Linked DNA regions of Oryctolagus cuniculus. The main gene of each other region encodes a partner of the protein of the gene in region 2 in a complex. Links are inferred from orthologs where the notes say so. Each region holds a gene or a part of one and is shown on either strand. Other genes may lie near its edges.

Region 1 (4,253 bases), on a different chromosome or scaffold from region 2:
ACCTGTTTGCTAGGAGTACAGAGCTTCCCCACAGTTCGTTTCGACACAGCCACTCCACTTTCCCTTCAAGCAAGCTCAGCAGCAATCTGGGGGAAAGGAAGCATTACTTATCCTGGGACAAAGAACACTGTAATCAGCTGGATTTCCACGAGGTTTTGGCAAACAGAAAAGTCAGAAAGTTAACTGATTCGGAACCCAAACCACAGCGCTGGTACTTATTTCTCCCTGTTCGGATTCTATTCTTAATCTTGCATCCCAAAATTTTAGAGCAGGACACACATTTTGGATTTGAGAATGCTCTATCTGGGCTTGGGATGAGACTACATTTATCTAGAGCGGCAGATGTGTTATTCTAACCCCCTGAATCTTCCCTCTTCGATTTCTTCACTGCTCTCTGAGAGATACACTATATACTCCAAAGCTGATCCCTTCCAATTTCCTTTATAGTAGAGGTCTTGGCTATTATAACCATGATGGAATGAAATGACTGTCCTACAGCTGGCAGCAAAATACACAGTGGCTATAAATAAATCCCTAATGCCTGAAAAGTAATTCATTCAACAAAGGAAAAAGAAATAGCACGGGCACTGCTTTGGCCAGCTCACCATTAAAATGCTTACTTTGTAATAGGGGCACCAAAGGAGTAGTTTGAACAGTTCAGATAAAGATGGCTGAGCAATTGTTGTCTTAAACCTCTCCCAAATCAAAAGTACCTGGCACAGGGAACTAACCATACAGGGAACAAACAATGGCCAAAGATGACCATTAGCTTGCTTCTCAAAGTTTCTCCATTTCACCAAAATAAGTGCTAGTGACTGGGATCAAGTGATCTCCACACTTCCATACTGGGATCTTATGTGAGGGTACAACATTTCACACAGGCTGAGGTCAAGCCTGCATATCCAGAAAGATGAACAGTCTTTAAAAAGTTAAACCCACATTAAGCAATGCTAGCCTTAACCAAAATAACAGGAGGGCCAATCAGAGATACAGACAGAATTCCCCCTACCCCCAACAACTCGTGATATTAACATGGGAAATTAACTTGAAAATTTATGAACTTCAGGTCTATAGCAGAGAAAGACATCGGGAGAGGAAAACCTTATGTTATCCTGTGTATGATTCCCATTAAAAGCAACATAAAGTAGTCTCTCTTTTTGGAGGTCTCCTAATTAGCTGCTACAAAATAGTATCCAAATTAGCAGCCATTCATTAACTCCCTGAAACATAAAGTATCAAGAAAGAATGCTTTTGGTCTCATTATGGGCCAGTACAGCTGCAGACCAAGCGGTGTCTGTCTGGGAAGGGAGAAAAAACAGCAGCTGGCACCCTGGGCAGCCGGAGAGGTGTGCAGGGCTGCGTGGCCAGCCACAGGGGGGAGAGTGCTTCACCACACCAGCGACGGAGAGAGTAAACCAAGCTGACACAGCACCACAGAGAAGGGCTTCTGGCATTGTAACTCTGCCAACAATTCTCCCATATGATTAAAATGATACAAAACCAAAATCAAAGAAACGGCATCTCTAAATTCCTCCCTTTTATCCCGAGAAGCAACATCACGGGAAGCGCAGGGGCACAAGTTTTCCTGCCAGGATACAGCTGCACTGCAACAGGTCACAAGGCCCATGCCACTCGCGGCACTGACTATTACGCACGAGGACAGATGTCACACAAACAGCAGCAAAGGGGTTACGACGCCAAAGGGCGCTGAGGACAAACAGGCGGAGTGGGCTCCCCTTGCAGCCAGTCCGAGACCCGAAGAAAGAGGGGACAGCAGACGCCAGACGTGGAGGCCGGGAACTCCTCGAACCGTAAGGGCTGATTCTGGGGCCCGTGCTGTGGGCAACGTGGGACAACCACCCCAGCATTCGCCGGGGGGAAAGACGCTCTAACTCGGCACGAAGCAAACGTGCATCAGTTTAACCGTCAAGTAGTCACTGGAAAACATTCGAGAATAATAACGTGCAACAAAAGTATGAATTCATGGAAATTCAGACTGAAACAGCCTGGGGAAAAAAAAAAAAAAACCAGTGCCCTTTTAACCCCATTAAATGAGGTTAAAATAGGTGGAGGAGGATGCGACAGGGAGAGCCGCGGTGGCCAGAGCTGAAGGCGAAGCGGCTCCTGCCGGACACGGGTTTCTTTTTTGAACTGGAAATGTTTCGAAAACAGCGGCGATGCTGGCGCAACTTCGTGGATGCACTAAGAACCACCGAACTTCACACCGGAAAAGGCAGAATTTGATGGTAAACAGGTGGCGCACGCATATACGGCGTTAAGTCTAGGTGGCGACACGTGAATCAAGTTTGGGAAACCTGCCCTTCCAAGAGGGCGGCGGCTCCAGGAGTCTGCGGACGTGGCCGGACGTCTCGGGCCCACGGGGGCGAGGCCTCTGCCTCAGTTCTCAGAAAGCCCCGTCTCCTCCCCAGATGGAACGAGGCCCGAGCGCACAGCCCCGCACGATCCTGCCGCCAGGATTCCTTGGGTCAGCTCAGCATCCGCCGGACCCCGCGACTGCAGACCCTCTCCCCATACAGACGCGCCCCGCAGTCATCTTCTCTCTCGCTGCCCAGACCCCGCCCGCCGCCCCGCGGCCCCTCCGGCACCCCTCCGCCGCCGGCTCCCCTTCAGACAGCTGTCCCGGGCCCTGGGGCCGCCCCTGCCCCTGCCCCTGAGGCCGACCTCACAGGCCTCTCCTGCCGGGTTCCGTACCTGCCTTCTCGGCGCCGCCGTCCCAGCGGCTGGAGATGGGGCCGTCACCCTGTGCACTCCGGAGGGCCATGTCCCGGGGGCCCGGGCTCCAGCCCGAGCCCCGGCTGGTGGCAGAGCCGTGAGAAGACGCGGCTATGGCCGCTGGACGCAGCGCCCACTCCGCCCGGGCAGGCTCGGCTTCGTCGGCCCGCGGCACGCAGGCGCAGCGGAGACCACGCCCCACACCGGCACGTGACGCTCCGCTGCGCGGGGGGCGGGGCCGGGGCGGTGGAGGCGCGCGCGGCCCGAGCCGCCTGGGACAGCGGCGGGAGCGCGCTGGGAGAGTTCCCGCCGTAGCAGCTGTCGCTCTTGGCCTAGTGCGATCGGGACTTGTCTGCAAAGTGGGACTAAGAGCACTGAGCTCACAGGTGCTTAGAACGTTACCAGGCCTGCTGTGTAACTGTGAGATGCCGTTTCAGCTTAGGGATTTTACGCTGGCGCCCAGGGCGTGCACTGTAGACGCCGTCCACGTCGACCCCTGTGGGCACCGCGCCCGCCTTCTGCACGGCCGCGACCCCCGCGGCTGACCAGGCCAGGTCCCGGCGACACGCCCGGCTTCCGAAGGCCACCCGCTCCGCGTCTGCTTGCCCTGCCTCCCCCCGGAGCTCCTGCCCGTCCTGCCCCATCCGCCTCCAGGGCCCCGTCTCGCTGGGGGAGGTTACTCCGAAGTTAATTTGATTTCTAGAACCAATATTCCATTTATTAAAATTAGAAATCCCCAAGCGATTTTTTTCCTTCAACTGACAAATTTTACAATTCTGTTCATAAATTTAGTAAATGAGATTCTTTGGGCTCATTAATGAATTTAATGAAGGCCCTTTGAACATTTGAAACTGGGTTTATAAATTTAATAATTTTCCATTTTTAAGCATCAGAATTTTAAGTCTTTACAAATGTTTGTTAATGGTAGCTAGGTATACATGAGCCTAAGTGTGTGAGGGGCAGAAGAAAAATGGGAATTTTTCTGTGCGATGCAACAAGGCAGCAAACTAACATTTACACATCTAAAGTGGATGTGGTTCAATAACCAGGCTGGGGTCAGCCTCTCTCCTCTGCCCTTCATCAAGGGGACTATTAAGAGGTTCTCGGTGGAACTCCGCACCCAGAAAGCCCTTCATCCAGCAATATTCCAGAGAGGGTGTAGAAGGCCCAGACACAGCATCTGTGAACCACCAGTGTGAGTGCAGACTCGGCTCCCAGCTCTTTCCCGAGATCCCGGCCTGGTCTGCCAGGTGCACTCCTCACTCAATGTCGCTAGCATGCTCACAGCTACCAGTCTCACATCTGAACTCTTTCTTGCATGAAGACAAGAACCAGGTAATGCCCTCCTGAGGCAACACTTTTTTTAAGTTTTAAGATTTAACAATTTCTAACATTTTGCCTCCTTCACTTCATAGGTAGATATTATATACGTGTGCATACTTTTTCTTTAAAAACAGGGATGTTAACATCATAAAAGGATTCGTGACAATCAGAATGTGGGGGAAGGAGGGTATATTGTC
Region 2 (4,307 bases):
ACTTCCTCAACAAGAGCGTGGAGGAGCCAGCCCAGGTAGGGGCGGGTGGCCGTCTGTGCCCCGGGCGCGTCCCTGCCCGCCTGCTCGGGCCTGTGCGACGGTGGGTGCCAGCGTGCACGCAGCCCTGACCCGCAGGAGCTCACCAGGGCCCCCTCTGTCCGCAGCCTGGCGGCGCGGGGCTCTCTGACAGCCGCACCCTCAGCTCCAGTTCCATGGACCTCTCCCGACGGAGCTCCCTCGTGGGCTAAGCCTGAAGGGGCAGCCAGTTGCCAGAGCCGCCCCCCGGCACAGCCCCAGCGCTCGCATGGGCCCGCTGCTCGTCCCGCCTGCCCAGCCCCAGGACCCCTGTCTTTTCTGTTCAATCTCAGGGTAACCTCCCCGCGTCGTCCCAGCCTGAGCCCTGGAGGCCGGCCTGGCTGCCCAGCGCTGCCCCGTATTTATTCTCTCCAGCAGAGCCCCTTGCCAGGCCCGTGGGAGGGGCTGGCTGCTCGCCTCGCCCAGATCCGGAGCCCGGAACACTAAGCCCCGCCCTCCCCCGGCCGTTGCTTCTGTATATAGAGAAATAAGTTATTGGCCGCGCCCCTGCCCTCCGTCCCGGTACTCCCGGCCCTTCTCTAGTGGTACCGCCCAGGCCTTAATCACCCCCATCGCGCGCGGAGTATCTCCCGCGAGCGGCGCCGCCCCGCAGGGCTCCCTGACCTGCTCCCGCCCCTCCCGGCCTCCAGGGGACGCCACCAGCTCGCCATCGCCCGGTGTCCCGGGACGGAGAGCCCGGAGCCCTCCTCGCCCGCCGGCCCCGCGCCGCGCCCGGCCTTATGCACTGCCCCGCCGGGGCGCCGCCTCCGCGCCTGCAGCTTCCCGCCGGGGCCGGAGGGCTCCCCAGCTGGGGTGGGGTGAGGCGGTCGCGCCATTTTCAGATGTAACTGGAGAAATAAAGACGTTTGAATCTGTGCTGGGCTTGTTTTGAGACGGAGGCCGCGGGTGCCCCAGGCTGGGATGGGTGGGAGAGGCTGCGCGTGTCTCCCACGGGGGCCAGGCCCTCTGCCCCAGCCCAGTTGTGGGGGGCGCTGCTCGGCTCGGGGTTTCTTCGAGAGCCTTCGCTCCTTCGCCCCAGACGGCCCGGTCTTTAACGAGATCGGCCGTCCTCGGGTTTGACCTTGAGCGAGTTTCCCGAGCCCCGGTTTTTTTTTTCCACCTATAAAACTAGTGTGAGGACATCCTCCTGGGCCCGTGGCTGTGCGTGAGGAGCTCTGACTAGTGCATGACCGGCGCCACCTTCCCACGCAGAGCTCCCAACCTGGGAGCCGAAGAGGGAGAAGGCGGGTGCGCCAGCCCGAGCCGTCCTCGGCCCGCGGCTACCAGGAAGCGGACTACAAGCTCCAGAAGGCAGTGCGCGGCAGGACAGGCGTGGGCTCGCAGCGACGCCTGCGCCGTGGGGGGTGGCGAGTCGGGCACCGTGGGGGACTACAAGTTCCAGTAAGCAGCGCGGCGAGGCCCCTGTCGGGACCGTGTGCGCCTGCGCGTCGCGGGCGGGGCCTCAGGGGCGGAGCGGCCACCATCTTGGAACGGGAGGCGGAGCAGAGCCGACTGGGAGCGACCGAGCGGGCCGCCGCCGCCGCCATGAACCCCGAATAGTGAGTGAGCCCCGCCCGCGCCGTCTGGCGCAGCCTCGGTCCCGAGTACGGGGCTGTACGCGTTCCGGAGTTGTCTGGCCCGGGTCAGGACTGTGCGGCGCCCCCACATCCGGGTCCCTCTACCACTGACACCCCCCCCCCACACATACACACATCCGGGTCCCGCCCCTCCCCCCGGGGGCCCAGGACCCCGTCTTGACACCCCCGAGTCCTCGAAGCGGGGGCCCGAAGCGGCAGCCCCAAGGGCAGCGCTGGGAGCCGCGCGGCCGGCGCGCAGGCCTCCGCGGTCAGGTGACCCGGCAGCCCCGGCGTCCCCAGGCCTCAGTTTCCCCGGCTGTGCGGAGCCTGTCACGCCGGTTTCTGGGTTCAGACTCGGCTCTTTTGGGTCGGGCTCTTGGCGAAGAAGAGCAGCGCCTGGGGTGTGGAGCTTGGCGGAGAGGGGGCTCAGAGCCCTGGAGGCAAGCGAGAAGCGAAGTCGATTAAGCCCCGCAAAAGTGCGCTCGGGCGGGATCCGAGCGGCCCAGCCCCTGGGCGCGGGGCGGTGGTCCTCCGTCGTCTGTCTGAACCGAGAGGTGCGGCTCCCGGAGGATGGGCAGGGGGCTGCCCGGGAAGGCGGGGCGCGGGCTGTCCCGGCGGAGTCGGGATTCCGGCGTGGTGGAGGAATTCCTGGAAAGCGTGGGGAGCCCGTGTGAGCCCCCTGCGGCCGTGAGGATTTCGAAGGTGGCTCGGAAGGCCGGCTTCCACGTTGTCTCTGCGGCCCCTGGAGTGCAGGTGTGCCAGCCCTGGGGCCCTGCCCGCGCCCGCCTCCCCGGTCTGGGGCCGAGGCTGGCCAGGCGCAGGGCCCGGGGCGGCGCTTGGTCCCGTCTCCCGCGCCTCGCGCTCGCGGGGTCTCCCGCGCCTCGTCCCGCCTTTGCCACCCTGCTTTCGCTGTCCCGCTGCTGCCGGGCCCGGGCGCCGTGGCGCGGCCTTTGCCTCGCGGCGCCGGCTCTGGGCCTCGCTGCCGGCTCGGCTCTGCACTCGGACTTCCCCGCGGTGCGCTCTGCTTCCTCTCTGCCGCTTCCCTCTTCTGCCCCAGCTGGAGGCTGCAGGTTTCCCCGGGCAGCGCCCCCCGGGCCGCGGTGCGGGGTGGGTGAGACCCCGCCTTGGGGCCCCCTCGCAGCTCAGTCTCCTCCCTGGCCTGGGGTCTCTTCGTGGCGACTTCAGCTGTGCGCGCAGCTTTGTCACTGAGCAGGTTCCGGGCTGAGCTCAGCTTTCCCTCTGGGGCCTGCCCTGCCAAGCCACTGGACGGGCCGGGAAGGTCTGGAGTCCTGGGAAAAGTCCCAGCGGCGGCACCGGGCTCTGGTTCACAGCATCCCGCCCTTCAGCGCCCGGCGCCCTGTCGCGTCCAGGGCAGCGCTCCCCCAGCCAGGCCTGGCGGGAGATCTGGGGGGCCGCGGCCGCGAGCCCAGGGTGGCAGCAGTGCGCTGCCTGCCCTCACACTCTCTCTTCTCTTCCCAGTGACTACCTGTTTAAGCTGCTTTTGATCGGCGACTCGGGCGTGGGCAAGTCGTGCCTACTCCTGCGGTTTGCTGTGAGTAGAAGCTCCCGTCCCCCAGCCTGGGGTCCCAGCTGGCAGCGGGGGGAAGGGCCCCCCAGAGCACAGTGGCTGCGAGACCTGGGGACCCAGGGTGAAGTCGTGGGACCCACCAGTCACACATCAGACTAAATGGCACAGGGCCCAAACGTTGGGGTGCTGAGAACTGGGGCTCCCCTGTGCCCCACTGGGGCCCCGTGGCTGAGGCGCTGCGCTGGCCCCGGCCCTAGGATGACACGTACACGGAGAGCTACATCAGCACCATCGGGGTGGACTTCAAGATCCGCACCATCGAGCTGGACGGCAAGACCATCAAACTCCAGATCGTGAGTGTCGCCCGAGGGCCCCGGGGAGGGGGCTGCGGCCTGGGCCGCGGGCCGACTGTGCTGCTCGCTTGTCTGCAGTGGGACACAGCCGGCCAGGAGCGGTTCCGGACCATCACCTCCAGCTACTACCGGGGGGCCCACGGCATCATCGTGGTGTATGACGTCACCGACCAGGTACTCCGGGGCTCCCTGTCGCCAGCTGTGCCTCCCTGCCTTAGTCCGAGATTCGCACGTCATCCTGGCCTCTGCCCTGACAGGGGACTGACTGTGTGCAGGCTCACGTGCAGGGAGGCCAGCCTTCCAGAACCCTGATGCAGGGGCTCGGTGGGACCAGGCCGCAGCTTCCCCTCCGCGCCAGACTCGCCCCTCGGGGTTTTAGTCAGCTGGGTGGCCGCGGTGCTGGACCTGTGGCTTCCTGTGTGAGACAGGGGCGGCACTTGGAGGGCCCTTGACCAGGAGGCCCGGGAGCCCGGTGTGAGCAAGAGCCCAGGCTGTGCGTCTGCTCTCACGCCGCTGGCAGCAGCCGGAGACGGTCTGTCCCCTTGCGACACTCATGCGAGGGCTGTGTCCCAGGAGGCCGTGGGCTCAGGACGGCGGGGGCCCTGGGCGAGTCCTCCAGCTTGTGGAGGGCAGGGGCAGGAAGCGCAGTCTTTCCCTCCCCCCCCGCCCCAAACCTGCCGCTGCGTGGGGTCCAGCCCCAGGCGGAAGGGGTCCCTGCTCCCAAGGGCAGCTGCTCTTTTTTTAAGACTTATTTATTTATTTATTTGAAAGACA

Evidence for each region.
Region 1: the proteins of RAB1B (region 2) and TBC1D20 are in contact, whole or in part, in a crystal structure (PDB 4HLQ), measured with the Homo sapiens proteins. The link is inferred for Oryctolagus cuniculus from reciprocal best matches to the Homo sapiens genes RAB1B and TBC1D20. Residues at the interface, in NP_112243.1 of Homo sapiens: Ser17, Gly18, Ser36, Tyr37, Ile38, Ser39, Thr40, Ile41, Gly42, Val43, Asp44, Phe45, Gln60, Trp62, Ala65, Gly66, Gln67, Arg69, Phe70, Thr72, Ile73, Tyr77, Glu94; in NP_653229.1 of Homo sapiens: Gln97, Gln98, Leu101, Asp102, Arg104, Arg105, Leu107, Arg108, His141, Tyr142, Tyr143, Gln144, Gly145, His147, Asp148, Phe177, Met178, Asp179, Pro180, Thr181, Met182, Lys186, Val212, Ile215, Leu218, Ser219, Thr223, His227, Met272, Ala273.

The regions. Positions count from the first base shown.
Region 1 is NC_091442.1:26,546,896-26,551,148, forward strand, and holds the start of TBC1D20 (TBC1 domain family member 20), read right to left. Parts: upstream 2,916-4,253; 5' UTR 2,783-2,915; coding exon 2,713-2,782; intron 87-2,712; exon of another isoform or gene 3-86; intron 1-2. UniProt on the Homo sapiens protein: GTPase-activating protein (GAP) specific for Rab1 and Rab2 small GTPase families for which it can accelerate the intrinsic GTP hydrolysis rate by more than five orders of magnitude. Also shows GAP activity for RAB18 GTPase.
Region 2 is NC_091432.1:5,574,693-5,578,999, reverse strand, and holds the start of RAB1B (ras-related protein Rab-1B), read left to right. Parts: upstream 1-1,484; 5' UTR 1,485-1,620; coding exon 1,621-1,634; intron 1,635-3,131; coding exon 3,132-3,204; intron 3,205-3,437; coding exon 3,438-3,533; intron 3,534-3,611; coding exon 3,612-3,707; intron 3,708-4,307. Other genes in the region: KLC2 (kinesin light chain 2), read left to right, coding at 1-35, 165-248. UniProt on the Homo sapiens protein: The small GTPases Rab are key regulators of intracellular membrane trafficking, from the formation of transport vesicles to their fusion with membranes.